Linked DNA regions of Oryctolagus cuniculus. The main gene of each other region encodes a partner of the protein of the gene in region 4 in a complex. Links are inferred from orthologs where the notes say so. Each region holds a gene or a part of one and is shown on either strand. Other genes may lie near its edges.

Region 1 (4,050 bases), on a different chromosome or scaffold from region 4:
TGGACTCGGCACTCCGCCCGCGCAGCCAGCGCCGGTCGGTCCCCGTCCGGTCCCCGCAGCCCGGGCGGCCGAGAGCAGAGTGCGGCGGGCCCCGGGCGGGCGCCGCTGGCACGGCCTCCCGCTCCCGTCCCCTCCTCGGCGGGCGGGCCGAGGGCGGTGCCCTCTGCGCTGCTCCGCCCGCCAGCCCATCCGGAGGGGCCGGCCTAGCCCGGCTAGGGTCTGCGACGGGGCCGCCTCCCAGGCTCCGGAGAGGCGGCAGGGGGCGCCTGGAACGCGCCTGCCGGCGGAGAAGGACTGAGAGGGGCGCCCGCGGCCGGGGCGGGGCAGGGCCACTGGCACGTGGAGCCGGTCCACAGCTCTCCGTGCAAGGCGGAGAGGGACCGGAGCCGCCGGGCGCTTAGGACTTCGGGCTCGGGGCTGCAGGGCTGCTAATTCGTGAGAGCAGCTGCCTTCTCTGCTGAGGACTGGAGGCCCAGGCGGGCCTGGAAAGGCCCCTCTGCGGGGGATTCGGAGGGCCATTCTGGGCTCCTGCCCTTGCTCGGGGCTAGCCTCAGGAGGTGCCCCTGCAATACCGGACCCGCCGGATTTTGCGGGCAAGGGGACTGGGAAAGAAAGGCCCGAGGGAAGGGAGTTCTAGTGCCTGGAAGGCAGGCGTCGGGGGTGGGGTGGGGTGGGCAGAGGTCGCTTCTCCTGGCAGGGCCCAAGGAAAACCCCAGGAGCTGCTGACGTCTCGCCGCCTTGGGGAAACGGCCTGCTGGGGTTTGGCTTTCTCTATCAGGGTCCGGGGAAGGAGAGAACAGAGGGTGGGGTGAGCACGGGGTGCACGGGCAGCGTTCGAGATAGCGAGCGCAGACGCGGCGTGCAGGAGGGCGGCAGGAGGCCAAGGAAGGGAGGTTGTGGGAGAAGGGGGCCAGCACCCGGGAGGAAGAGACAGGAAAGTGATCCAAGAGGAGGGCAGTGCTGGGGGAACACGCGGCACACGCTGAGGGGGCACTGCTAACGGGTAGGGCAGTGTGAGGGGATTTGTGGCAGGCGGAAGGAGCGAGCAGGGCCCAGGGGAAGAGGGCAGTGGTGGGGGGAGGGTGCAGCGCCAGAGGAGGGCAGTGCCAGCTTTCCTTTCCCCCGGAGTGATATCCTGGACGGCCCCGGCTCAGGTGACGTCCAGCAGGGCCGAGCCAGCCCCCGCCGACCTGGGGGCCCTCGGTGCCAGTTGAGGGACTAGGCATTACGTCCTGCTGGGCTAGCGCTCTGGGGGCGGAGTTTTGTTGCACCCGTCCCCGGCGCGGACTATGCCCTCGGGGGACACGAGGACCGGCAGGGTAGGGCTAGGGCCCGGCTTCTCTGGGGCAAAGATCAAGGTCTCGGCCTGGGTTAAGTCTCCAAGCATTCCAGGCTTCAGGGCCCGGACTCTGGAGAGGGCGAAGCGGAGCCCCAGCGGAGCGCGATAACCCGAGCCACCTCCGCCAGAGGTGGTGCTTGGGGCGTTCCCGCCCTGGGCGGAGTCACCTGGCTCGGAGACACGCCCTCAATGCGTGTTCCCTCGCCAGCAATCTATCGGGGCGGAAGTTGAGAATCCCCGAGGTGGAGGCGGCGGAAGTGGCTGCCGTACTGCAAGCTGGTGCGCATGCGCTTTCCTGCTGCTCTGCCGCCAGCGTTCAGGCGCCTTTTGCTCTAGTGTCTTCTTTTTCCACGCGAGAGTGGGCTAACTCGTAGTTGTGGTCTCGCTCCTCGCGTTTCCGCTGCTCTCGTGGCCCCCTCACGATGGCGGGCATCCTGTTTGAGGACATTTTCGATGTGAAAGACATTGACCCGGAAGGCAAGAAGTTTGACCGAGGTAGGTAAGGTGTGGGGTTTGGCCGAAGAAACTAACTTCCTCGGGACACACCCCTGGGCTCCGGCTCACGTGGCCTGCCCTTGCGGCAGGTCCTGATGTAGGGGCCTCTCCCAGGAGACCTTTTATGGATGAGAAAGCCGAGACGCCGAGCTCTCCCTGGCTGCACACACGCGGTGCCCAGTGCCATGGTGGTGGCAGGCTCCTGGACGTCTCTGCAGTCGCCTCTCACTTACACACATTTTGCCTTATTTAGTGCTCTCGAGAGTTCCCAGGAGGTAGGTGGTGCCTTCCTCTCCTCCTGGAGGGTAAGTTTGCCACCCAAGGCTGCACCGTGGTCAGTCTGACTTATGAGCCCGAATTCTTGTGTGGAGTCGAGTCTCCAGCTGATGTCAGACCCTCTGAGTTAACTGCGCGGTGCAGGCCAGGCGCCCGAGGTGTTTTTCAAGTCTCAGTTATTCAGTGAGATAATCCCCTTAGCATGGGAGAGGACACCTTTGGTTGAAGAAGTCCCTTGCCCAGACCCAGGTTCTAAATCACCCAGGTAGTGCCTAGAACTCTGTCTTTTGCTGCTAGAATATTTTGATTTGGGGGCAGGATTCCATTCATTTGCCATGCTTTTTTAAAAAATTATTATTATTTTTTAAAGATTAATTTTATTTATTTGAAAGAGAGAGAGGTAGAGACAGAGAAAGGTCTTCCATCCTTTGGTTCACTCCCCAGATGGCCACAACGGCTGGAGCTGTGCTGATCTGAAGCCAGGAGCCAGGAGCTTCTTCCAGGTCTCCCACACGGTGCAGGGGCCCAAGGACTTGGGCTATCCTCTACTGCTTTCCCAGGCCACAGCAGAGAGTTGGGTTGGAAGTGGAGCAGCCAGGATATGAACTGGCACCCATATGGGATGCCGGCGCCTTAGGTCAGGGCGTCAACCCACTGCGCCATAGTGCCAGCCCCAATTATTAATTTTTAAAGACTTATTTATTTATATGAAAGGCAGAATTACAGAGAGAGAGAGGGGTCTTTAATCCGTTGGTTCACTGCCCAGATGGCCACAATGGCCGGAGCTGCACTGATCTGAAGCCAGGCTCCTGGAGCTTCTTCCAGGTCTCCCACGTGGGTGCAGGGGCCCAAGGACCTGGGCCATCCTCTTCTGCTTTCCCGGGTGCATTAGCAGGGATTGGAAGTGGAGCAGCTGGGACTTGAACCGGCACCCATATGGGATGCCAGCACTGCAGGTGGGGCTTTGCCCACTAATCCACAATCGCTGGCCCCTGCCATGGTTTTTGTCCTCCATGCATATCTGGTTCTGAGCGAGCCTGCATTTCTCTCTCTCTCTCTCTCTTTTTTTTAAGGTTTGTTTTATTTATTTGAAAGACAGAGATAGGGAGAGACAGTGAAAGAGGTCTTCCATCCACTGCTTCACTCCCCAGGTGGCCTCAGTGCCTGGGGCTGGGTGAAGCCAAAGTGATCTGGGAGCTGGATCAGAAGCAAAGCAGCCTCTTCCAACTGGTGCTCTGATACAGAATGCCCACCTCGTACACAGCAGCTCTGCCCACTGCACTGCAGTGCCTGCACTTTTTTTTTTTTTTTTTTTTTTTTAAGATTTACTTACTTGTTTGAAAGGCAGAGTTACAGAGAGGCAGAGGCAGAGAGAAAGAGAGGTCTTCCATCTGCTGATTCATTCCCCCAAATGGTTGCAATGGCATGGGCTGGGCTGATCCGAAGCCAGGAGCTTCTTCCAGGTCTCCCACATGAGTGCAGGAGCCCAAGGACTTGGACCATCTTCTGCCTTCCCAGGCCATAGCAGAGAGCTGGATCAGAAGTAGAGCAGCAGGGACTCGAACCAGCACTCATTTGGGATGCCAGTGCTGCAGGTGGCGGCTTTACCCAATATGCCCTGTGCCTGCACTTCTGTGAGAGCACATAAGAGGCCAGTGGATGTAGATCAGGTTACATTAAATAGTCGATTGCCTGTAATTCCCAAACTGGGATCTGTCAGATCTGCCTTTGCCCTGGTAATTACATCGTCCGTCTCTCTGCTTCTCCCCAGTGTCTCGACTGCACTGTGAGAGCGAATCTTTCAAGATGGACCTCATCTTAGATGTAAACATTCAGATTTACCCTGTGGACCTGGGTAAGTATTGAACCCAGAGAATCAACAGAGGCTTCTTGCCGTCTCAGCTATTCTTTACGCCCAGATATTGCTGCTGTTTTCAGGT
Region 2 (4,182 bases), on a different chromosome or scaffold from region 4:
GCGTCAGGAAGGACAGCAGAGCCCAGGGCTGGGTGAGGGACCGGGGCTCAGGAGGTGAGCCTCACCTGCTGCGCACCTGGGCAGGCTCCACATCGAAGTAGGGTCTCAGGATGTCGATGTTGGCATACAAACTGAAGGCTCTGGAAGCTTGTCTCTTCCCGGCCTGCCACATCTGAGCGGAGATGCGGGGATGGCCCGTGAGGCTCCTGGCCCTGGGGTCCTGCTCCCTAGCTTCTGTCGGGGTTCTACTGGGCTCCAACTGGGGCAGCCTGAGGTCAAGGTCACCCACACGACTCCAGATCGCGCAGGTATCCTGCACTTGCCAAGGATTCAGCCCCGCTTACCTGGTCAGCCACCTGCCGGCTCAGCTGCCCCTTAAAGCCCTTCATGCCCAGGAACTCCCCATCCTCCTCTTCCGCAGCGGCCGCGTCGGCGTCCACTTCTTCCTCGCGCAGGCGCTGGTGCAGCTCACCCATGTCCTCGAAGCTGGAGCCCGAGGTGTCATCCATGTTCTCCATGTCAATCACGGCAGAGCCCCCACCCTGTGAAGGCAATGCCTCCTACAGTGCAGGCCTTTCTGGTCCCTGCCCCGCTGCTGGCGCCGCGCCTCCGAATCCCCGCACATCAGGCCACTGTCACCCCTCACTTTCTCTCAGAACCCCCTGGCTGCTGGTTCCGGCGCTCTCCTCTAGCCCGAGAAGCCACCTACTTGTCTTCCGCTCATGCCTTTTCCCCACCTTCCCCATCAAAGGCCCCGAGGGTTTGCAAGGCGCAAGCAAGACCATGCACACAAGATGTTTCTGGCGAGTGCCAGCGAATCCCGCCCACTGCCCCGCTTGACCCCGATTGACCTCCTCTTCTGTCTCTCTTCCTAACGCCTCAGGCGCGTCCAGAGACCCGAGGCCCTCCGGCCGGCACTAGCTTCACTGACTTTCCCGTGCACGAAGACCCAAAGGGGAGAGGAGTGTTGCAAATGGAGGAAGCTTTCGGGCCCCGAGGGAGGCTTCCCCAGACACGTCGGGGTGGCCGGCAGCCGAAGCGCTGGGGCCATTACCTGGATGTTTTCTTCGAACCCGCCCCATTCCGGGCCGGCCCCGTTTCGAGCGCCGCCGGCCGGCGCCGCGGTGGCTGCCATGTCCCTGGAGGGCTCCCGTCCCCGAAGCCAGCGCTAGCCCCGCGCGCGGAGGAAGAGGGGGCAGACGTGGGCCTGAGGCACGGAGACGTCCAGGGCCGAGGACAGGCGCCACCAGCCGGAACGCAAAAAAGAGAAACCCGGATGTTTGGCCCAGACAGACTTCCGGAAGTTGGGGACGTGGACGGAGGCGGGGCAAAGTCTCGCGATACGTCGGGCTCCGGGAGGCGGTGCGTTGCCACGGCGACGGAGGAAAGCCGCTAGAACGCACGCGCAGGCGTGAGGCCTTAGTCTCGTGGGGGAAGTCGAAGATGGCGGCGGCTCAGGCCGTTGAAGAAATGCGGAGCCGCGTGGTTTTAGGGGAGTTCGGAGTTCGGAATGTAAGCCTTGTGGCCTTGAGTTCAGAAGGAAGTATGAGAGGGACGGGTCGGGATCAAAGTGAGGGCGGGCTTGGCTTCGCTGCCTCTTCACGGACGGACCCGTATCTCTAGGTTCATACCACCGACTTCCCCGGGAACTATTCCGGTTATGATGATGCCTGGGATCAGGACCGCTTCGAGAAGGTGCGTGGGGCCGGAGTGTGATCGGAGCAGCCCGGGCTTCCGAGCTGCTCCCAGGGGTCACTCACGTGGCAAAACCAAGTTTGCTCAGCATCCGACCGTGTCCTGGGCGCTCCTTGCACACCGGGCTTCTGCCTTGTTCTGCGATCGAGCTGTTCAGGCCTGTACAGGTCATTCTAGTTGGATGCGGTGACGGCGGCTGAGAGTGGGGGTGGGGCACCCCTCAGAGACGGTCTAGACTGGGGCAGAATCATAGGATTCCCTGAAGGAAGTGACATCTGAGTTTGAGCCCTGAACGGTGAGTGAAGGTCGAGGAGGGAGGAGTAAGCGAGCTAACTTGTAAAGACGGGGTGGGCGTGTCCCTAGAATGTCCGAACCGCGCATTATTGATAGAATGTTACACTGGCCTGACGGCGGGCACTGGGGGTTCTTGAGCAGGCGTGACCAGGTGATCCGGTTTGCAGCTTTGGTGGTTGAGAAGGAGGAGAAGGGGCGGGCAGATCGCTAGGCAGTGCTGGGGGAAGGAGCCCAGGAGTGCTTTGGTGAGAGCGGTCAGGACTTTCTGGCTGTGGGAACTCATCTGACGGCTGGCGGTGCCTGGGCAGTGGGAACGATGACCCATTCGGTTCCCCGCGGTGTGGAGGAGCTAGCAGCCCAGGAGAGCGTTCGACAGAATGTGGGGAGTTGTCCATAGTAGTTGCTAAAACCGTGAGTGTGGTTGATGTCACTTTGGAGAGAGACAAGAAGCTGGGGACCGGTAACACCTAGGTGGTGGGTGGAAGGAGACGCAACTCCTCAGATGGAGGACTGGTGCCCAGACACGGAGGAGATGGGGTTTGAGAAAGGAGTTTTTTTTTTTTTTTTTTTTTTTTTTTTTAATTCAATGCCAAATGTAACATTAGTAAGAAAAGAACTGAGTCCTGTCAGCTGGACTAAACTGTATAGAAGTTTCTGCTCTTCATAGAATAGCTTCTGGCTCAAGCCATATTGCATAGGATTTTCAACTAGTGGCATACAAAACTGGGGGCATTGTTCAAGAAACTAAAAGAACAGAGGAAGAAAACATCAAATGAGGCTTTGCTGGGCAGAGGAAGGCTTCTGGGGGAGCGGGGATGTTCCGTGTCAAGGGGGAGCTGTAGCCAGGTCACACCAAGAGCAGGCTCCATCCACTTGTTTTTCCTTTGCCTCTAGAACTTCCGCGTGGATGTGGTACACATGGATGAAAACTCGCTGGAGTTTGACATGGTGGGAATTGATGCGGCCATTGCCAATGCTTTCCGGCGAATTCTGCTGGCGGAGGTATCAGCGGGGCCGGTGACGGCTGGAGCGTGGGGAAGTGTGCCATCACCTCATCTGTCAGTGTCTCAAGTTGCCCCCCCCCCCCCCCCCCGATTTTGTGGAGTGTTTTGCTTTAAGTTTTTATGAGGCATTCTTCTAGGAGTTGTCCATCTCAGGAGGTGGGGAGTCTGCCGGGTTTTTATAGACGGGTAATCCTGGTCTCTGGGTAGGTGCCCACAATGGCTGTGGAGAAGGTACTGGTGTACAACAACACATCCATCGTGCAGGATGAGATCCTGGCTCACCGCCTGGGGCTCATTCCCATTCATGCTGATCCACGACTGTTTGAATATCGGAACCAAGGTGAGGGCCTGGGAGATGAAGCTGTTGGGGGAAGTGGAACCGCTTTCTTCCTTAGTAGATCCTGGGACCAGCTGCCTGGGTTCGAATCCTGGGTTGACTCTTGTGGCCCTGGGCAAGTGACTCATCATCTGTGGACGAGAGGAGCAGCACACGGGTAGCACTCGGCAGTGTCTACCCTGATGCTCACTGCTGCTGTAAGGGCCGCCTCTTCCCTTTGTGCAGGGGACGACGAGGGCACAGAGATAGACACTCTGCAGTTTCGGCTGCAGGTCAGGTGCACTCGGAACCCCCACGCTGCTAAAGATTCCTCTGACCCCAACGAGCTCTATGTGAATCACAAAGGTTAGTGGGCAAGGAGGGAGGCCTGGCTGCTGGCTGTGGGGGCGTCTCGGGGCTACAGCCCTCTGACTTGTCTTCCCTCCAGTGTACACCAGGCACATGACGTGGGTTCCCCTGGGGAACCAGGCTGACCTCTTCCCTGAGGGCACTATCCGGCCGGTGCACGATGATATCCTCATTGCCCAGCTGCGACCTGGCCAAGAGATTGACCTGCTCATGCACTGTGTCAAGGGCATCGGTGAGACCCGTGGGCCGCCTCAGGTGCAGGGCGTAGCTTAGTCGCCGCAGGAATCCAGGGATGCTCCTGACCGGCAGAAGGCGGTGGGCTTGGGCTTTCGCGCTCAGTGGCTCGGGAGAGGATTCCCCCAGGCTGATCTCTCCCTTCCCTGCAGGCAAGGACCACGCCAAGTTCTCACCAGTGGCGACAGCCAGTTACAGGCTCCTGCCAGACATTACCCTGCTTGCACCCATAGAAGGGGAAGCGGCTGAGGAGCTGAGCCAGTGCTTCTC
Region 3 (4,203 bases), on a different chromosome or scaffold from region 4:
AAACGAGAAGAGAGGAGGAGACGAACAGGCAAAGGGGGGCAGAGAGAAAGGGCCAAGGGCAAATTCCCTGGTGTGCTGGCCCACAGCCCAAGTCCTCGGCTCCTGACCGCACCAGAGCTGTGATGGGTGCGACCCAAGCCAGTCGCTCTCCAAATGGGAAGGGCGCCAGCAGTTCTGCTGCCCAAGGAATCAATAACAAGCATTCTTATGATTCACGTTCATCCTGCTTTATTCCGAAGCACTTTACCGAAAAGCCCCTTGACCCAGCCAAGAAGTTCAGGGCCAGGAGCCAAGACACCTGGACTCCAGACCTGCGTGTGGCAGATCTGGAACCTTCTTGGGGGTCTAGGTTTCTCCCATTGACCCTCGGATGCCTGGTGAGGCTGCTGTTGTCATTCCACAGATACGGAAACTAGGATCAGGTGGGGTTAAAACTTGCCCAAACACTCACACTATTAAAAAAAAAAGTTAGGACTTTTGATCCCAAAGCCTTTGTCAGAAATAGCAACTGGTTCCATGCCCCGATTTCGGTGCAGCCTGAGATGGCTTGATCCTGCATAAAATGTCCCCAGAGTGAATCAAAGGCAGATCAAGTGTGAGGGCCTGCAGGTGAACTGTGGAGGTCGGAGTGCTCTTTAACCAAAAAAATAAAAAAGAACCAACTACGGGATGCAAAGTCAAGTCCAAGGTCTTGCACAGGCCTTAAAGCTTCAACTTCATTCGCATGATGGTCAGTCTGCATCTTCCTCATGTCCTGCCCGCTAAAAACCCAGACACACCAGATCCCGGCGGCGCCCTCCTCCCGAGGCGAGAACCGTGGCAGGAGTCTTGGGAAAGGAATCTCATCTCTCCCAGGAGGCAGGAGGAATTACCGCGGCGGAGAGCCCGTGCGAGGAGGGAGGGAGGCTGCGCGCCAGCCAAGAGCCCACAGGGGCCCGGGGACGCAGCGGAACAAGACGCGGGCAGCGGCGGGGCCGGGGTGGGAGCCAGGCGTCATGGCGCTGTCCCGGACGAAGGGCCAAGCCGTGGGCCGGCCTGCCGCAAGCCAGCGCCCTCGGCTGTCCGCGGGCTCCCTGCGTCCTGCCCTGAGAACACTTCCCCGGAGCTAAGAAGGCAAAGTCGGACAACCCCGGCGCCGGCAGCGGAGGCCGAGGCCGGACGCTCTGCGCGGCCCGCGCGGCCCGGGTGCCGGGCGCCCCTCGCGGCTCCCCACCGCCGCCGGGGGGCAGCGCCCGCGGCCTGCTTTCCCCGGGCTGGTCGAGCCTTTTTGACAAGCTGATTGCGTGGCGGGGATTGGCTGGTCCGGGCGTGACGCCGGTAACAACAAAGGTGGAGTTGGAAGAAATTAGATTAAGGGAGAGGAGGAAAAAAAAAATTAAAGGGGGAGCTGGCAGGGGACAGGCGGCGGCGAGCGAGGGGGAGATGCGCGCGGCGCGGCCTCCGGTACCGACTGGGCCCCCGGAAGCCTCTCCGCGTAAGCCCGCCGGGACCTGGCTCTCGCTTCCCACCCCGGCCCACTTCCGAAGCCGGGTAGGAGAGACGGCTGCTGCTGCTTTGGAAACCTCCCAGCTCCCACCCTGCCACCCCTCACGACGACCCGAGGGGAGAACTTTTTGCTCGGACTCCACGTATCCTCAGCCCGGCGAAGGTGGGGGGGCGCTGGGAAGGAGGCTCGCTCCAAACCCGGGACGGCCCCGCGGGGCTCGGAGGTCGGGCGAGGAGCGCTGCCGCTCCGGTCTTCCGAGATGGCTCATCTAAGAGCTTCTTTCTGTCTTTTCTTTCTTTTTTTTTTTTTATAACACCCCCCCCCCTTTACTTCCCCCTCGCTTTGGCTTCAGGGTTGCAAAAGCAAAGAGCAATAAAAAAAAAAAAAAAAAAAGGAAAGAAAAAAGAAAAAGAAAAACCGCGCACACACTCAGACACACGCCAGTGGCGACAGGGGAGAGTTGGAAAGGCGCAGGAGAGAAGCAGGAGGCGGGCGGCGGCGGGGCCGGAGCCTTGGGAGCGGGGAGCGGGCAGGTTCCCTCGCAAAACCCCCTCCGCCCCACGGCGCCTCGCCGGCCCCGGCAGGGGAGCGAGGAGCCGGGCGAGCAGATGGAGGAGTGGAGCTCGCTCTAGGCAGCGGGCTTGGCCGGAGAATGGAGGAGCCGCCAAGCGACCGGCTGATTGGAAGAGAAACGCAGAGCGATGGAGGCGGGGGTAGGAGGACGATTTCTCTGCGGGGACTGGCGGCGGCGTACACGCCCGGGTCGGGCGCTGCAGAGCTTGGCTGGCTTTCAACCCGCGCTCGCCGGCTCCAGCCCCGCGCGCCCCCACCCCCGGCCCTCCCGGCGGCTCCGCAGGTGAGTGCGAGCTGGGGGCAAAAAGACCCAAAGTCTCCGCACTCCCGCCCTGCAAAAAAAAAAAAAAAAAAAAAAGAGGAAAAAAATTTTTTTCCTTTTTTTCCCCCCAATTTTCGCGCAGCCCCGAGAGCGGTGGGAGGGAAGGGGTGAGGCTGAGCCACCCGGAGGAGGCGGAGGGGCCAGGCGAGGCCGCGGTGGCCCGGGAGGCGGCGGCGCCGAGGCGGCTCTGACGGGCGAGCGCTCGGAGCGGCGCTGCGCTGCGCCGAGGCGGGCGGGCGGAGCGGGGCGGGCGGAGCGCGGCGCGTGGGGCTCGCCATTAGCCGTCGCTCCGCTTCGCCATCTCGGGCTTTGTCTGGCGACTCGCTGCCCCGGAGTCGGCTGCGGCGGAGCTGCGGCTCGGCTCTCCGGCCCGCCGCGCCCCCAGGTGTCCCCGGCCCGCGCTCCCATCCACACGCTCGGTAAGTGAGCCCCGGCGCCACGGATTTCGGGGGAGAGGGGTTGCTCCGAGCGGCCGCGCCGCCGATCTCCATGCGCCCAGGCAGGCCTGGGGAGCCATGCCGGGCTGGATTGAACCGGCTCCCACCGTGGCTCCTCGCCGCTTCCTGGGTGTAAGGAGCGAAGGGAATTTCTTTTTCCCCCTTGGCAAGGATATTTTGCTTTTCGAGTTTCGCGTGTGCCGTTCGGCGGCGAAGTAGGCGCCGAAGCTTGGCACCGCGATCGGCACCCCGAGCGAGTAGCCACGCTCTGGGGAAGGTGGGCGCGAACCGCCCGCGCCGGGAGGCGGGAGAGGGCCGGCTTGGAAGGCCGGATCTGGGCTGGGAGGCCGTGGAGGAGAGGTCCGGGGCTGCACTGCGGGCACCCCCGAGCCTCTTCGGCCGCCGGGGGGCCCTCCGGGCACCCTCTCCGCGGCCGCGCCTCGGCCCTCCCTCCCGCGCCGGCCGAGCCTGCTAGTTCCCCCGCGGGTCTGGCGAGGTCGCTCTCGGCGCCCGCCCGCCCGCCCGCCTCGGCTCCGAGCCCCGCCGCCATCCGGGCGGCTGCGTGTCTCCCTGCCCCGGCCCCCCCCCCTCCCCGGCGGCAGCAGCAGCAGCAGCCGCCGCCGCCGCCACCGCCACCACCACCACCACTACCACCACCCCCCTCCCCTCCTTCCTTCCCTCCGCCTCGGCCGCCCGGGTCCCCCCAGCTCCCGCCCCTCCTCCCAGCTGCCCCCCGCGGAGCCCGCCCGGGCAGGCTGTGGGAGGGAGCGGAGCCGGCGAGGCGGGCGGGCTGGCGCTCGCTCCCCGGGGGTCGGTGTGCGCTCTACGGGGAAGGACGCGCTCGCTGCCCCGCTTCTCCCGCCCCCCCTCCCGCTCCTCCTCCTCCCTTCTCCCTCCTCCTCCCCGCTCCGGCGGCGGAGGCTGCGGCGGCGGCGGGGGGTGTGCGAGCTGAGGCCGGGGCCGGCGGGCGGGCGGCGGGCGGGCTGCCTGCAGGCGGAGGGCGCTGTGCTTTGTGCTTTTCGCCGCGAGGAGCAGCAGGCAGCAGCTACAGCCGCCGCCGCCACAGCAGCAGCAGCAGCCGCCGCCCCAGCGCCGCCACCGCGCCCGGAGGAGGAGCCGCTGCCGCCGCGGGAGGGAGCTGCGGCTGTGCCCGGCCGAGCGGGGGAGGGCGCCGCCGCTCAGAGCCGGGGAGGGAGCCGCCGGAGCGGGAAGCCCGGAGGTCGCGCTGCGCCGGGTAACCGAGGCGGCTGAGGGCGCGCGCTGGGGGTCGGGGCCGGGGCGGCCAGGGAGAGACCCGCGGGAGCGGCGGACACCCCGGCGCAGACCCGGGGCGGCCTCCGAGCAGGGTCTGGACGCGAGCAGACCGGGGCACTGGGGAGGACGCC
Region 4 (4,256 bases):
GCTCAGGCAGTACCCGGGGATGAATAAATGGGCTCTGACAGACGCCTGATTTTCTGATATTCTCAACAGTCATTGTAAACCTGCACAATCTTCGCTAAGCGGTTAGGTGGGAAGTGCATCCATTTCAATTGCTGTTCCATGAATGAGTGGAGTGGATCATTCCACCATGGTTCTCGGCTTGGCCTCTGCCTTTCTGTTTTCCCTGCTCGGTCTTTTCTCTACTGCTTTGCAAGAACTATCGACACACCGAAGAAATCCGCCCTTTGTCCTCCGTATGCTGCAAGCAGTTTCCCTACTTTGGAACCCGCTGTCCTGGGTCAGTCTTTTCCTCTTGGCGTCTGGTCTGAGGCGTGCTGAGAGTCCTTCCCCACACCACGGTCTCTGAAACAGTCACGCTGGTTTTGTTCTAACGCTCTCCTACGTGCACATACGGAAGAGTACTGTTTAGACTGCTGATCCCCCCGGGATTCGTTTGGGGTATAAAGAGTAAGGAAGCAGTCTAGTTCAAAAAAGCAAATTTAATTTTAACTACAACAAACACAAATTTCTAGATACCATTTATATATAAATATATCGCTTTAATTTTCTCAAAAACATTCATATTAATTAAAAAAAAGTTTACACGTCATATCGTATAGCATCCATTGTTAGAAAAGATTTATTATGTGAAAGGCAGAAGGAGGGCACATGGAGAGATCTCGCCCGCCCTCCGGTGCGCGCTCCAAACGGTCCCGGTAGTCAGGCTGAAGCCAGGGGCCTGGACCTCCATCCAGGTCTCTCCTATGGGTGGCGGGGCCCCAATACTTGGGCCACCGTCCTTTGTCTTCACAGGTGCACTAGCAGGGAGACACATCAGAGTGGAGCAGCCAGGCGTGAATGGGCACTCCCAAGTGGGACGCTGGTGTCACACTGCTGGCTTAACCCCCTGCACCCCAACACCAGCCCCCACAGCAAACAACTTTATGAACACATTTGATACCTATGTATGTATGTGTGTGTGTGCACACATGTGATAAAATACACTTCCCACAATCCTCTGCAAAGTGGCATTACAATCTGACACCGCTTAGCACCACTGAAATATCTTTCCAAGTCTCTTCAATTGTTTTCAACGTCTTCTCACTCTTCTGGATCTTGAAGACTCGTTTGAACTCATGTATTTTCTTTTAAAAAGTTTCTTTTCAATTAAGCTCACTTCTTCATGGAGTAAGGAGGCCTTTATTCTCAGCAGGAAGGAGAAGAGATTTAATACAAACTGGTAACTCAGAGAAAAATTAGATTCTTCGTAGGTTGTCACATGTTTACAGTAGCTGGAAGGGGAGAAAAATGAGGAAGTTGTCCTGAAGCTAAGCTGCAAACGCAGTGTCAACTCTGGAACATCTCCCAGGCAGCTTAGAGGGAAACTCAGAACAATGTAGAAAACTCCTTAATTTACAACGGAATGAAGTCTGCACTGTGTCTGGAGACCGCGCATGGGGACACGGTGGACGGGAGCAGGCCTTCCCCGCCCCTGACAGGAAGGACACTGCCCGTTTTCTGAGCATGCTCCAAGCACAGAAAGGCAGGTGGGGAGGACCCTGGACACACGGCTGAGACAGACTCAATCCCTGACGCCACCCATGCACCAGATTCACACTGAGCCTGTGCACTGTGCGAGAGCTGAGAAATGTCACCTGTTCGCAAACAGCAGAACCTGACTCCGATCGAATCTCTATCACCAAACCTCCGCCCAGTGAGAGCCAGCAGTCTCGATCTACATCAAAGCGCAGGCAGCCCAGGGACAGAGAAGCAGGCCAAATGCCATCACGTGACCGTAGTCGGCAAGACCCAGGTTATGGAGAACCCACCAGGACACCTGACCTAGGTAACTCAACGAGCAAATCATAGGGTAAAGAAGAGATTAAGAGGGGGCCTTATCTCTGTCTCTCTGCCTCTGCCTCTTTGTAACTCGGCCTTTCAAATAAATAAATCAATCTTAAAAAAAAAAAAAAAAAAAAAGAGGGGCTGGCGCCGTGGCTCACTTGGCTAATCCTCCGCCTGCGGTGCCGGCATCCCATATGGGTGCTGGATTCTGTCCCAGTTGCTCCTCTTCCGGTCCAGCTCTCTGCTGTGGCCCAGGAGGGCAGTGGAGGATGGCCCAAGTGCTTGGGCCCTGCGTCCGCATGGGAGACCAGGAGAAGCACCTGGCTCCTGGCTTTGGATCAGCGTAGTGTGCCGGCTGTAGCGTCCATTTGGGGGTGAACCAACAGAAGGAAGACTTTTCTCTCTCTCTCTCACTGTCTAACTCTGTCAAATACATTTTTAAAAAATTAAAAAAAAAAAAAAAAGAGGTGGCCTTTACGATAACACTTAAGGAGCGGTCAGCCACTCACAGCAGATAGGCCTTATTTGAATTCTGAGGTGATCACGTGACGGCTGTGAGACACCCCCCCGCCCCCAGCACTGACTGTGTGTTTGATAATACTCAGGAATGACTACTTTTTAAGATCTGATCAGATGTATCACAGTTGGATCAGAAAAAGTACTTTGGTGTTTGTGATGGGCTTCCCAACAGTGCGGCAGTGGAGGCAGGAGGGCCTGGGTGGAGCAGACCCAGCTGTGCTGGGGGGGGGCGCTGGACCGGTCCTTCTACTGGGCTCCCACTGAGCCTGTAAACTGAGTCACTCTGACGAGCACACAGGGTCCTAAGTTCCCGAATGTGTATGTCTGCACCACAGAGCTCTGCCACGTGTCAGCTAGGACCACGGGACAACCGCTCCTGGCTCTCTCACCTGTGAACAGGAACAACCCCAGGACTCACCTCTCAAAGGGTTGACAAAGGATTAAATAAGAATACAGAGGGGCCGCGTGGTGGCGGGCATCCCACACAGGCACTGGCTCAAGCCCTGCCGCTCTACTGCGATCCTTAACGTGATCAAGCGCACGTCAGAGCGTGGCGCTCTCGGCCGTCACAGCACTGGGTCCTCCTGCAGCACTGGGCTCCTGTCCCATCAACTATTTAAGGCGTTCATCTCAGAACTCAAACAAGGCCCGGCTCCTGCGAGTGGCCGACCACTCCTTAAGCGTGTCAGTTCATCAAGGCCTCCTGTAACGCGCCTGGGAAGGCAGCGCAGACGGCTCAAGTGCCTGGGCCCCTGCGCCCGTGGGGGAGACCCAGAAGACGCTCCTGGCTCCTGGCTCCAGTCCAGCTCAGCTCTGGCCGTTGTGACCAATTGGGGATGAACCAGCAGATGAAGGACCTCTCTCTCTCCCCTCCTCCTCCTCCCCCTTCCTCCCCCTTCCTCTCTCCCTCTCTCCCCTGTAACTCTGCTTTTCAAATCTTTTTTTTTTTTTTTTTTTTTTAATAAGAATATAGAGTAAGCACTTAACCCAATGCTTGGCACATAGTAAGAGCTCAAAAATGGTCTCTTCCCGATACTCCTTTAAAATTGACTTTTTGGTTTGTTTTCACTTAAAATCCCAAGGCTATTTCAATAATAAAGCTACTACCCCACACCATGTCACTAGTAGGAAATGTAAAGCCTCAGGTGTTTGTTCACTCATTGGTTTAATCGCCATCTATATAGCATTCTGCCAATATGGCAGTTTCTTGGTCTTCTTTCTAACTTTTTCTAAATGTCAGCTTTATTGAGAATCTTTCTGATAAAAAGTTGTCACAAAAGGGAACAGGTGTATTCTCTCACACAAAGACCACAAGGGCAGTTCTATTTCTACACGAGAAAGACAAGACAATGTATTCTGCTGGTTCACGCCCCAAATGCCTGCAGCAGCCAGGGCGGGGCCAAGGTCAGGTGCCAGGACTCCCGCTGGGGTCTCCCACAAGGCGGCAGGAGCCAGCTGCAGGAAGCTGGACGGGAACAGAGGCAGGGCTCCAACACGGGGCGGCTTCACCTGCTGACCACCATGCCTGCCCCACTCTTACTTCTAAGTGAAATCACTGACAGCTTAGTGTGGATTACGCTCTTTAAAAAGTGTCTACAAGCCGGAGCCGCGTCTACCACACGATGCTGCGTCCGCGCCAACGCCTGCTGCGGGGTCAGCCCCGGGGAGCGCGCGAAGCCCAGGGCTCCAGTGGGCGCAGCACAAGGCCACGGCCTCCTCACAAGCGGCCCTTCACGAGGGCGCTTCGAAAGGCTCATGCAAACACCGAACCAAAAGACGAATGTATTTTGCTGCAAAACATTTTGAAATCCACACTGAATTTCTCCCTAAACGCACTTTCCATGAACTTTAGGTTCAAAAGGTGCTGCGTATGC
Region 5 (4,039 bases), on a different chromosome or scaffold from region 4:
TGGCTCACTAAGCTAATCCTCTGCCTTGCGGCGTCAGCACACCGGGTTTTAGTCCCGGTCAGGTCGCTGGATTCTGTCCCGGTTGCCCCTCTTCCAGGCCAGCTCTCTGCTGTGGCCAGGGAGTGCAGTGGAGGATGGCCCAAGTGCTTGGGCCCTGCACCCCATGGGAGACCAGGAGAAGTACCTGGCTCCTGCCATCAGATCAGCGTGGTGCACTGGCCACAACGCGCTGGCTGCGGCGGCCATTGGAGGGTGAACCAACAGCAAAAGGAAGACCTTTCTCTCTGTCTCTCTCTCACTGTCCACTCTGCCTGTCAAAAAAAATAAAATAAAATAAATAAATAAAATGACATCCGATTTCATGGTTAAGTGATATTAGGGGCTTGTGATTTCCCCAGCATTTCCTAACTTTTTACTAGGGTTGTCTTTCCTTTATGGCAGGGAAAGACAGACAGGTGCCTCTCTCCCAAGTAAATTCACATCTGTCCTTTAGAAAAGAGATGGCTCCAGAGCTTGCACACGCAGGAGCCCCACAACAGCTACAACTGGATGGTGGTGGGAGGGCTAGAACCAGGAAACTCGTATAGAAACTGTTTCTTCAGGTCAAGTCTAAGCTACTGACGCGTGAAAATGGTGAGGTCTTCTAAAGATCCTTATTCTCATGTTTTATAAACAAGGAGCAACTCAATTAACCACCGACTGGATGACCACGACTGGAGGTGAGGGACCAAGTGGAAGACTGAAAGCCAAACTCGACCCAGGTCTTAGCAACCCCTGCCTACAGGCGTCCCCGGCCTAACGCCAGGTCCCTGTGGTGTCTGATGCCCTCCGAGGTCCTCGGCCCAGGGTCCCTGTGGTGTATGACCCCCTCCGAAGGCCTCGGCCCCCTCCCAGGCGTGCCCCTTCCGTCTTTCCCGTCCGGCCAGCGGAGCCCAGCGAGTCTCAGCACGCTTAGCTACACCCTCTGCTCCGCGAAAAAAGGGCCGCTGGGAACGGCGGGACCTGTACTTTTCTAATCCAACGAACTCTTGTTTTCTGGGGGCCCCCGTGAGTGGGAAGCCAGTGAGTCAGATGCGAGACAAGGAAGAGGAATACCCCACTACTGTGTCCAGGTGGGAAAAGGAGCCGGAGGCGCAGTGCCAGCGACTCGCCTTCCGGTCCACCACCACGAGACCAAACGGCAAGTGACGCAGCAAAACGCGCTCCCAGCCCGTCTGCCCGCCCTAAACCCCCCGCTGTGGCGCGCGAGGAATAGTGACGTCACAGCAAATTGTGCGCCCGGACGCGTCGGCGCTCTAGCCCTCGGCGCGCTCGCTGCCCCGCCGCTTGCGCACGGCCGGCGCTCTAGCCCGCGCTACCCGGCCCCTCTCGCCTGCCCTGGCGGGGTTCCGCGTCGCCGGCTGGTTGCTTGGTGGCCGAGGCCGGAGACGTACGTGGGAGGAGGGGTCGGGTTATCTGTGCCTAGGTGCTGGGGCAGACAAGGGAGGCCCCCTGCGTGGGGAGGGTGCGGCTCTCTGGTGTCCTAACGAACTGGTCGTTCCCTTTCCAGCATTCCGTCGCGTGTCCGTCATGGACGGCGCCAGCACCTGCCCCAGCTTTCAGTCGGACTTGGATTTCTGTCCGGATTGCGGCTCGGTCCTGCCCCTGCCCGGAGCTCAGGATACGGTCGTCTGTACTCGCTGTGGCTTCTCCATCCACGTGCGGGGTGAGGGGCGGGGGCCGGTGCGCGGTTTGGAGACCGGGGAGGGAGAGCCTTAGAGCGGGCGCCTGGACGTCTGGTCTGCGGAAGAACCCTGAGGGAGGCAGGCAGGCCTGGCGGGGGCGAGGCGGCCGTCCGCGCCCTCCGCTGGCCTCCACAGCCGCTTCTTGCTGCCCCGTGCAGACTTCGAAGGGAAGGTCGTGCAGACTTCCTTTGTGTTCCACAAGCTGGGGGCAGCCGTGCCTGCGTCGGCGGAGGAAGGGCCCGAGTTCCAGGGACCCGTGGTGAGTTACTGAGATGGAGGGCTGGCTGCAGAGAGGGGCGTGGAGAGGAAGCGGAGGGGCGAGTGCGGGGTCCGCAGAGTGTTGCACCGACTTCCAGGAAGGCGGAGAGCCTGGGAAGTGAGGGGCGCGCCCCCGCCTCCTAACGCACCCCTTCCCGGCCAGGTTGACAGGCGCTGCTCTCGCTGTGGCCACGAGGGAATGGCGTACCACACCCGGCAGATGCGCTCAGCCGACGAGGGGCAGACCGTCTTCTACACCTGCACCAGCTGCAAGTGGGTCTCCGCTCCCCTCCCTCTGTCTGCGCACTTGACATGTTCAGTGGCGTATTCTTGTACCACACACTTGCTTCCATGATTCCATCCCTAATAGGAAATACTTGTCTTTTGTATATCCAGTGAACTCAACCGTTTACTATTTTGTTTTTTCATTAAAAAACAAGAGAAGGCTGGAGTTGTTCACTGCAGCCAAGGTAGCTTGACCATGGTAAGAATTAGTCACACGGGATTTAAAGAACAGCAGCTTTCTGAATGGTTTGCAGAATTTAGTGTTCTGGTTCCACTAGAATATATCAGAGTGTTGTGGGCCGGCGCTGTGGCGGAGGAGCAGGTTAAGCTGCCGCCTGGGACACCAGCCTGGGTTCATGTCCTGACTGCTGAACTTCCAGTCCCGCTCCCAGCGAATGTGCCTGGGAAAGCAGTAGAAGATGGCCCAAGTTCTAGGGCCCCTGCACCGACGTGGGAGACCTGGAAGAAGCTCCTGACTCCCGGCTTCCTCCTGGTCCAGCCCCAGTATTGCTGCCATTTGGGGAGTGAACCAGTGGATGATCTCTCTGTCTCTCCCTCATTTCTTTTCCCCCCAAGGAAATCTTTTATTTGATAAGTACAAATTTCGTAAGTACAGCTGCAGGAATATAGTGATTCTTCCCACCATACCCACCCCACTCCCAGCCCACCTCCTCCCTCTCCCATTTCCAGTCCCCTGCTCTTGTATCTCCCTCTCTGTAAATCTGCCTTTCAATCAAATTTTTTTAAAAAAAAAATAAAGGATATATCAAAATGTAGCTCGCTTTTGTTTATCCTGTTTGGAATTTTATTGGACTTTCTGAAATGAGAATTGATGTATTTCTCATTAACTTTGAAAAATTACCAGCCATTATCTCATTTAATACTGTCTTTCTCCCATGTTTTTAATTCTCACATACTGGAGTTCTAATTGTTTATTATACTTTCTCCTCATCCTCCCATTTTCCTCACCCTGTCTAAAAATTTATTCAAAAGGCAGAGTTATAGAGAGGCAGAGCCAGAGAGAAGTCTTTCATCATTGGTTCACTCCCCAAATGGCTGCCACAGCCAGAGCTGGGCCAATCCGAAGCCAGGAGCCAGGAGCCTCTTCCTTGTCTCCCACGTAGGTGCAGGAGTCCAAGTACTTAGGCCTTCTACTGCTTTTTTTTTTCCCTTTGCCATAGCAGAAAGCTGGATCGGAAGTGGAGCAGCTGGGACTCGAAGCGGCGCCCATCTGGGATGCCGGCTCTGCAGGCAGCAGCTTTACTTGCTACTCCACAGTGGTGGTGGCCCATCAATCATTTTTTACTTCTCAGTTCCTTAATTGTATTTTAAATCTCTTTTTATTTTTTAAATGTGTATTAGATATATCAAACATGTTTACACCATAGTAGTAGGGGCTTCAGTTTTAACTTACCTGTCTGGATTTATCAGTGTGAAGATGGCCTTTCCTTTCTTGGAATTTACCAGTGGATTAAAAATATTTATGGTCATATATCTTTCCTATATGAGCAGTTTTTAATATTTATAAGGTCCAGTTAAACATTCTTTTTTTCTTTCATGGCTAGTGCCTTTTGTGTTCTAAGACATCTTTGCATACTTTGTCTTAATTCATCTGATTTATTTTTAATCCCAGCATTTTCAGTTGTTGGAGGATTTATTTAGGGGAGCCAGGTCTCCACAGTATCATAAATAAAAGGCCCTTTGAATGTTGGAATATTTCATCTTACATTGCTGGGAACTCCTCTGATCCAGTGTAACAAGTCTTTTTTTTC
Region 6 (3,500 bases), on a different chromosome or scaffold from region 4:
TCCTGCAGCACAAGGATGTGGGTTCGCTCCCCGCCGCAGAGCCGCCCCCGGCGCCGGAGTCGGGCCCGGAGGACGAGCTCAGTGAGCGCCTTGGGGAGGCCTGGGAAGGCCGAGGGGCCGCCTGGTGGGAGAGGCGGCAGGGCAGGACCTCGGGGCTCAGCAGGCAGCCCAGGCGGGCCAAGCGCCGCACCCAGCTCTCCAGCACCTTCTCGCTCAGCGGCCGCCTGGACCTCTCCGATGCCAACAGCCCCCCGCACAGCCCGGACAGGACGTGCCCTGAGGCCAGGCCTCGGGCCCCAGTGCCCTCAGCCTCCCAGGAGTCGACTCAGGAGGCCGGCGTTCAGGGCGTCCCCTCGGAGCGGCGGCAGAGCCTCCGGAGCTACGCCACCGAGCCGTCACTCCAGGAGGCCGCCACGCCCCCCTCCCGGGCCGCCCCCTCCCGGCAGCGCGCTCCTGCCCTCGCTGGCTCCCAGCCCCAGCGCAAGAGGCCTCGCATGGGCTTCTGAGGGCACGGCGAGGCTGGGGCCTCCAGAGCCCTGGTCCTCACGGCAGGGCCGGCGGGGCCTTCCACAGGAGGGCCCAGCGCGGCTTGGAGCGGGGAAATGGCGCCTTGGGTGTCCTCCCGTTAGCCTGCAGGTAACTGCAGAAGGCCAGTTGGGAGGACTCCCTCCAGGAGGTGGTTCGAGAAAGCGGGGCTCCCTGTCGTTGGGGGTGCATGGGCCAGCAGCGCCAGCCCCTCAGCGTGTTCAGGAGTGGGGAGACCCCTCAGCTGCACGTGCCTGGCAGCACCGCAGTGGCGGTGAGCGGCGCTGGGGGTGTGTCCCCAGCCCCCCAGGTGACCTGTCGCTTTGCTCGGGCGGTGCTGGCTGATGGTTCAGGGACCGATAAAATGAGGTACTTCTTCCTTAGACCGGGCTTCTGGCATCGGGTGTGTGAGGCCTCGCGTCCGAGCTGCTCCCGCTCTGTGCAGGACTCTGCTCTCCCACGGGCAGCCCTGCAGGCCGCAGGCCCTGTCGTAGGCTGGAACGCACAGGTTCAGAGGGCAGCTGACGAGACCAGTTGTGTGTAAGCGTTAGTAACAGACTGACTTGGGTGGATGTGAAGGTGTTTATGCGCAAGGAGGCACGGACAGGCACACAGCGCAGTGGGCGGACGGACGCTCTGAGCACACGCTGCACGACGCAGCCCCGCAGCCAGGGCTGAGGGGGCGAGCGGGGAACCCCAGAGATGCTCTGGGGAGGGAGAGCTGGGGGGAGGGCTTGACACGGAGCCGTTCAGTCCAAGCCGAATTCGATGTCCTCCTGGCCTGCCCCCACCCTCAACTTGGGCTCTGTTTCAGACCGTGGTTCCTTCTTTTCCATTGTGTCCCCTAAAGAGTTCAGAGAGAATGCCTGTGGGTGTTCTTGCCAGGCGGCCAGCCCCCAGCTGGTCCCGCGTGCAGGTCTGGAGTGCCAGGTGTCTCAGGAAAACACCCCTGTGTGAGGTCGACATTGCCACCGCAGCCTGCACGCCCATCCAGCAGCAGCTGACCAAGGCACAGCCCAGCCCGCTTGCTGCCACTCCCCACCAACTGTCCCCCAGCCCCAGAGTGAGGGTAGCAGTGTGTGCCACCCCTCAGGTCTCTGCACACTCCCTGTGTGGGACGTCAGACAGTGTCACGCCGTCCCAGGGGTCTGGAGAGCAGCCATGCCCCTGTGCCAGCTGCCACCCAAGGTGTGTCCCCCACTGCCAGCCACAGCATCTGGTCCCCTTGCTCCCTCAGAGCCAGGTCTGGGGGGGAGGGCGGGCAGAAAAGCTTCCCCAGCCCCGCGGAGCCCAGGACGGCTGAGTCCCTGTGACTGCAGGGGCTGCCCGCCCACCCTGGTGGCTGCTTGGCCCCAGGGGTGGCCTCAGACGCCTGGACTGGGGAAGGTGATCTGGAGTCTCAGGCCACTTGGTCACCGGTGACCCCCAGAACATGGATTCTGGGAGCAAAGGTCTAGAAGGCCATCCCTGCCTGCCTCCCAGGTGGGGCGGCATCACCTGAGGGAGAGGCCATGCAGGGGGTGCTGTCCCCGCCCTCCCTGCAGGGAGGGGGCGTGGCGTCTCCGCTGCTGGCGGGGGTTGGCCAGGGGCTGTTTGGCAGCTCTTCAATCAGCGGTCGCGCCGGCTTGGCGACTGCAGTTCGGACATCCGGGGACTTTGCTTGTATCCTGAGCGTGTCTGTGAATGGCGTCTCGGCCTTCTCGGAGATGGCCTTGGAGACCGCAAAGATGCTGGAGAGGGTGTCTGTGGGCGGGCGCTCCAGCTCCGGGTCACTGTCCTCGCTCAGGCTGGAGATGGCCTGGACCCTCGGGACGCACGTTCCCTGTCGGACAGGACGGCAGTGTTGGAACCTTTTCAGTACGGTGGCTCTAGGTGTGCTACTCCAGTTATGCTTTCCATTGTCACCTGCAAGGAAGGCCCAGGGGACCACAGGACTTGGCCCTTTGGGAGTCTGGCCTCAGCATGGCCAGGCCCAGCTGCATTTTCACAGAGCCCTGCGGCCAGGGTCTGTGCACCTCTCCACCCTTTCTGGGCCTCGGTGCCGCGCTCCCCCTGCCTACTCTTCTGCCTCCAGGGTCCCTGAGCCGGGCCTCTGCCGCCACACCTCTTAACCCAGCTTTGTTCAGCTCCGGGCCTGGGGGTGGGGAGCTGATACAAAGATGACCTCTTGCATGCCCTCTCCCTTGGGCAGGATGTGGCACCGTGGGCTCTGGGGGTGCCGTGGGGAGGAGCCCCCAGCTCCGTCTGCCTCTTCCCTCTACAGCTCTGTGCAGACACTGGTGAGATGCACGCAGACCCAGCATGTCGGGTAGCTGCATCCAGGGCCCAGTCCTGTAGCTCAGCCAGAACCCCCAAGTGGGAGAACGAGCAAGACAAGCCGCTGCGCTTCCCCCTGTCGGGAGCCCTGCTGTCCCACCAGGAGCAAGTTACTCCGAGGGCCGGGGTGCGCGAGAGGTCCTGACCAGTTCATGGGAAACGTGCTGTAGGAAAAAACTGCATTTCAACATGAGCGAACATCCCGGAATTCACTTCCCACGGATTGGCAGACCCCTCAGGCCTTGTAAATGACAAGAACGCAAGTGAGAGTCAGGGTGGAGGGGCCGGGTGCACGGATAACCTTACCTGGCCTTCCAGAGAGTCTCCTGGGTCGTCGGTGTCTTCCAAATCAGGGAGGTCCTGAAAGAGCCGATTGTCACGGAGAGCAGCGTGTCAGTGAGCCACAGTGCACACGGACACACAGCCCCATTGGGAGGAGCAGAAATACAAACATGATAACCAAGGGTTTTGTTAACAGAGCAAGGGGCCCTCTCCCCCACCCCGGCAGCAAGCACTGGCGGCAAGTGTGTGTCAGCATCGAACGACAGGGAGAATCTGCGAGGTATGCCATGGCCGAGGGAGTCCCATGTCCTCGTCACGGCCACTTCACCACGGGGCCACAGGGCACCCAAGCTGGAGGCACCTGGGCAAAGGTGACC
Region 7 (3,500 bases), on a different chromosome or scaffold from region 4:
CAGATTATTTGGAAGCTTGGAAGTGAAATTCTGTTTTATCATCCCAAAAGCAATGTGGAGACTTTCAACACCTTTGCTGACCGGATGAAAAATATTGGCGTCTTGAATTATTTAAAGGTGAGGTTGTTGGTTTTGTGAATTTACGTTTTCAGTGTATCGGTAATAAGGAGATAATAATGCAGAGAGCATGGGACCAAAGGTGAGACATGTGGATAAAGAAGGGGAACTGGAAGAAACCATTGTGAGAACCATATGTCTTGGTTTCTGGTCCCTGTCTTGTTGTCTGACTGAAGATCCTTCTCTTTGTGCCTTTGGCTGCCAGACACCAGCCCTTCAGGGATTGCAGTTGTGCTTCATTGTGATGATGGGCCACATTCTCATGTTTGCAAGCATTTGTTTTTATTTTCCTTTTGGGAGGCAGAGAGAGAAAGAGGAAGACTGACTGACAGATCTTTCATTTGCATATCTTTATCTGCAAATGCCTGTAACAGCATAGGCTGGGTCAGGCTGAAGCCAAGAGCCTGGACCTCAATCCAGGTCTCCTTTGTGGATGGCTGGGACCCATGTGCTATAGCCATTCCCTGCTGCCTCCCAGAGTGCATATTGGCAGAAAGCTGGTGGGAAGCAGAGATGAGACGTGAACTCAGACACTGCAGTATGGGAAGTGGGCATCCCAAGCAGCTGCTTAACTGCCGTACCATATGCCTGCTCCCTAATAAAAGTCTTATCCAAAAGGAGACATTTCCAGAATATATATCTCTCTCCCTCTCTGTGGTATAGTTTTTGACTAAAAATTTTTTAATAAAGTTTTAAAAGATATGTAATTTTTAATTTTTTTTCTCAGTGACCATAGAGTTTCATTGGAATACAGTTACATTCATTAATTTCCAAATTGTCAGTAGCTACTTCTTTTTTTTTAAAGAAAGATTGATTTATTTATTTGAAAGGCAGAGTTACAGAGAGAAAGGGAGCAATGGAGAGAGATCTTCCATCCACTGGTTCATTCCCTAAATGGCTGCAACAGCCAGGCCTGGGCCAGGAGCCAGGAGCTTCATCTGGGTATCCCACATGAGTGCAGGGTCCCTAATACTTGGGCCATCTTCTGCTGCTTTTCCTAGGCACATTAGCAGAGAGCTCAGTCTGAAGTAGAGCAGCCAGGAATTGAACCAGCCATGCCACAGCCACAACACTGGCTCTACCAGTAACTACTCTTTCATGACAATGATGGAGTTGAATAATTGTGACAAAAACTAGTTAGCCTGCAAAGCCTAAAATATTTACTCTCTGGCTCTTTTTAAATTTTTTTTTTTTTTTACTTTTTTTATTTTCAAAAACTTTTATTGTCATAAAATATACATAACATAAATGATTTTTAACCATTATAAAAATATTTATTTACTTGAAAGGTGGAATTACAGGAAGGGAGATGGAGAGGCAGAGAAAGAGAGCCAAAGAGAAATCTTCCGTCCTCTAATTTGCTCCCCAAATGCCCGCAATGACTAGGGCCGGACCAGGCCGAAACCAGGAGCTTCTTCCTGGCACAGGGACCTGAGTACTTAGTCCATCTTTCGCTGCTTTCCCAGGCACATGAGCAGGGAGTGGGATCGGAAGTAGGGCAGCCAGGACTTGAACTAGTGCACATATGGGATTTTGCCCTGCAGGTAGTGGCTTAACTTTCCGTACCACAGCACCGGCCCCAATTTTAGCCATTTTTAAATGTACAATTCAGTGGCATTAGTTATATACACAGTTTTCTACCAAGATTACCGCTAGTCCCGAAACTTTCCATCACCCCAAACAGAAACTATGTACTCAGTAACAGCAACTCCCCATTCTCTTCTCCCCCAGCTCCTGGTAACCTCCAGCCTGTTTTTGGTCTCTGATTTTGCCTATTCTAGATATAAATGGAGTCATGTACCATTTGTCCTTTGGTGTCTGACTTATTTCACTTAGCATAATATTTTCAAGATTTATCTGTGTTGTGGCATGTATCAGAACTTTTGCTTTTTCTATGACTGGATAGTATTCAGTTTCCTATCACGTTGTGTTTCTCCATGTAACTGTTGTGTTGTTTTCAGATATGGCTGTTGTAAATCATACTTCAATGAACATTGGCTTGAAATTATCTGTTTCAGTCACCATTTTCAGTTCTTTTGGGTCCATCCCTATGTTTAATGTTTTTAAAGATTTATTTATTTACTTATTTATTTGAAAGTCAGAGTTACACAGAGAGAGGCAGAGAGAGAGAGAGAAAGAGAAAGAGAGGTCTTCCATCCAATGGTTCACTCCTCAATTGGCTGCAACGGCCAGAGCTGCGCTGATCTGAAGCCAGGAGCCAGGAGCTTCTTCCGGGTCTCCCACATGGGTACAGGGGCCCAAGTACTTGGGCTATCTTCTGCTTTCCCAGGCCATAGCAGAGAGCTGGATCTGAAGTGGAGCAGCCGGGTCTCGAACCGGCACCCATATGGGATGCTGGCACTTCAGGCCAGGGCATTAACCTGTGCCACAATGCTGGCCCCACATTTTTCAAGAATTGCTAAATGGTTGTCTACTGTGGCTGCACCTATTTATATAAATACTGCTTTCTAATTTTGAAAATGAATTTTCGCAGTTTAGGATTCTTTTTTAGATCTTAATTAATTTAGAAAAAAATTTCTGAGTATGAATAGTTTTGTGCCAGATGCTCTCTGACAAGTGGAAATTGAGTAGAGGCAGCTTATGGTTCCATGTAAGGAAGAGACTTCGAGCTGAACAAGTTGGGAAAGGAAAGGCCTGCCTTAATGGGCGCTCTCCTCTCTTTCCAGGAAGAAACTGGGTAGCTGTTTGATTGGAAAGGGAGCGTGGAGTTTTAACTAACCAATTGGCCAGGCTTCTTTTGGTGCATGGAATCTACTCAGTTCAAGTAAAGAAACTGGAAGGAAATCTCATTTCTTCCACACCCAAGAGTGATAATTAGAATAAGCAGAAAGCCACTGCAGTTTTTCAGGCAATGTGCTGTAGAAGGGACAGGCATTTAAATGGAAAAAAGTGTTATGGGTACCACGGTAGAGAATGCAGCATGCAGTAAAAAGGTGAAGGAGAAGTGGTTGTCTTTGGAATTGGAGAGGGCTGGGATTGATGAATAGGGGGACCAGGAAAAGGTAGGACGTGATGTGTGAGATGAGTTTGAAACAGCGAGTGGGGTTCAATAGGCAGACTAAGGAAAGGGTGCTCTGGCGTGGCAGGGGTGACAGAGATTCGATAGCCCCGTGTCCCATGCTCTAGTTACTCTGAAAATTACTTGAATGGAAGCCAGAGGAAGTAGGCTGGGCACTGTGTGCCATACTTAGGGAGCTTGGGGTTTATTCTGCAGACAGTGTGAACCGTTGGGGGCTTTTACAGAAACGAGTAACAAAATGGGATTTCTTTGGTAATTGCATGGATGATGGATTGTAGGGGGGCAAGAAGGGAGAGGTTAGTTGAGAAATAATTGCAGTAGTTTGAGATGGGGACCTTGAACT

The links.
Region 1: TAF1B (region 4) and POLR2H share a complex: the UniProt entries of both Homo sapiens proteins name them as parts of the pol I pre-initiation complex. The link is inferred for Oryctolagus cuniculus from reciprocal best matches to the Homo sapiens genes TAF1B and POLR2H.
Region 2: TAF1B (region 4) and POLR1C share a complex: the UniProt entries of both Homo sapiens proteins name them as parts of the pol I pre-initiation complex. The link is inferred for Oryctolagus cuniculus from reciprocal best matches to the Homo sapiens genes TAF1B and POLR1C.
Region 3: TAF1B (region 4) and UBTF share a complex: the UniProt entries of both Homo sapiens proteins name them as parts of the pol I pre-initiation complex. The link is inferred for Oryctolagus cuniculus from reciprocal best matches to the Homo sapiens genes TAF1B and UBTF.
Region 5: TAF1B (region 4) and POLR1H share a complex: the UniProt entries of both Homo sapiens proteins name them as parts of the pol I pre-initiation complex. The link is inferred for Oryctolagus cuniculus from reciprocal best matches to the Homo sapiens genes TAF1B and POLR1H.
Region 6: TAF1B (region 4) and TAF1C share a complex: the UniProt entries of both Homo sapiens proteins name them as parts of the transcription factor SL1/TIF-IB complex. The link is inferred for Oryctolagus cuniculus from reciprocal best matches to the Homo sapiens genes TAF1B and TAF1C.
Region 7: TAF1B (region 4) and TAF1A share a complex: the UniProt entries of both Homo sapiens proteins name them as parts of the transcription factor SL1/TIF-IB complex. The link is inferred for Oryctolagus cuniculus from reciprocal best matches to the Homo sapiens genes TAF1B and TAF1A.

What each region holds. Positions count from the first base shown.
Region 1 is NC_091435.1:93,931,982-93,936,031, forward strand, and holds the start of POLR2H (DNA-directed RNA polymerases I, II, and III subunit RPABC3), read left to right. Parts: upstream 1-1,250; 5' UTR 1,251-1,761; coding exon 1,762-1,834; intron 1,835-3,881; coding exon 3,882-3,965; intron 3,966-4,048; coding exon 4,049-4,050. UniProt on the Homo sapiens protein: DNA-dependent RNA polymerase catalyzes the transcription of DNA into RNA using the four ribonucleoside triphosphates as substrates.
Region 2 is NC_091436.1:126,548,517-126,552,698, reverse strand, and holds the start of POLR1C (DNA-directed RNA polymerases I and III subunit RPAC1), read left to right. Parts: upstream 1-1,382; 5' UTR 1,383-1,443; coding exon 1,444-1,512; exon of another isoform or gene 1,513-1,543; intron 1,544-1,623; coding exon 1,624-1,695; intron 1,696-1,992; exon of another isoform or gene 1,993-2,059; coding exon of another isoform or gene 2,060-2,140; intron 2,141-2,883; coding exon 2,884-2,991; intron 2,992-3,200; coding exon 3,201-3,333; intron 3,334-3,555; coding exon 3,556-3,675; intron 3,676-3,757; coding exon 3,758-3,910; intron 3,911-4,064; coding exon 4,065-4,182. Other genes in the region: protein YIPF3, read right to left, coding at 66-172, 345-542, 1,055-1,135. UniProt on the Homo sapiens protein: DNA-dependent RNA polymerase catalyzes the transcription of DNA into RNA using the four ribonucleoside triphosphates as substrates.
Region 3 is NC_091448.1:19,038,556-19,042,758, forward strand, and holds the start of UBTF (nucleolar transcription factor 1), read left to right. Parts: upstream 1-1,403; 5' UTR 1,404-1,648; intron 1,649-2,212; exon of another isoform or gene 2,213-2,342; intron 2,343-2,661; exon of another isoform or gene 2,662-2,800; intron 2,801-3,863; coding exon of another isoform or gene 3,864-4,203. Other genes in the region: basic salivary proline-rich protein 2-like, read right to left, coding at 3,864-4,203. UniProt on the Homo sapiens protein: Recognizes the ribosomal RNA gene promoter and activates transcription mediated by RNA polymerase I (Pol I) through cooperative interactions with the transcription factor SL1/TIF-IB complex.
Region 4 is NC_091433.1:192,313,895-192,318,150, forward strand, and holds the end of TAF1B (TATA box-binding protein-associated factor RNA polymerase I subunit B), read right to left. Parts: intron 1,311-4,256; coding exon 1,109-1,310; 3' UTR 501-1,108; downstream 1-500. UniProt on the Homo sapiens protein: Component of RNA polymerase I core factor complex that acts as a GTF2B/TFIIB-like factor and plays a key role in multiple steps during transcription initiation such as pre-initiation complex (PIC) assembly and postpolymerase recruitment events in polymerase I (Pol I) transcription.
Region 5 is NC_091436.1:140,424,720-140,428,758, reverse strand, and holds the start of POLR1H (DNA-directed RNA polymerase I subunit RPA12), read left to right. Parts: upstream 1-1,239; 5' UTR 1,240-1,429; exon of another isoform or gene 1,430-1,465; intron 1,466-1,549; 5' UTR 1,550-1,569; coding exon 1,570-1,705; intron 1,706-1,882; coding exon 1,883-1,983; intron 1,984-2,145; coding exon 2,146-2,255; intron 2,256-4,039. UniProt on the Homo sapiens protein: Core component of RNA polymerase I (Pol I), a DNA-dependent RNA polymerase which synthesizes ribosomal RNA precursors using the four ribonucleoside triphosphates as substrates. Can mediate Pol I proofreading of the nascent RNA transcript.
Region 6 is NC_091449.1:65,912,849-65,916,348, reverse strand, and holds part of TAF1C (TATA box-binding protein-associated factor RNA polymerase I subunit C), read left to right. Parts: coding exon 1-506; 3' UTR 507-1,274; coding exon of another isoform or gene 1,275-1,369; 3' UTR 1,370-2,022; coding exon of another isoform or gene 2,023-2,347; 3' UTR 2,348-3,147; coding exon of another isoform or gene 3,148-3,201; 3' UTR 3,202-3,500. Other genes in the region: DNAAF1 (dynein axonemal assembly factor 1), read right to left, coding at 1,275-1,369, 2,023-2,347, 3,148-3,201. UniProt on the Homo sapiens protein: Component of the transcription factor SL1/TIF-IB complex, which is involved in the assembly of the PIC (pre-initiation complex) during RNA polymerase I-dependent transcription.
Region 7 is NC_091444.1:36,957,311-36,960,810, reverse strand, and holds part of TAF1A (TATA box-binding protein-associated factor RNA polymerase I subunit A), read left to right. Parts: intron 1-3; coding exon 4-117; intron 118-3,500. UniProt on the Homo sapiens protein: Component of the transcription factor SL1/TIF-IB complex, which is involved in the assembly of the PIC (pre-initiation complex) during RNA polymerase I-dependent transcription.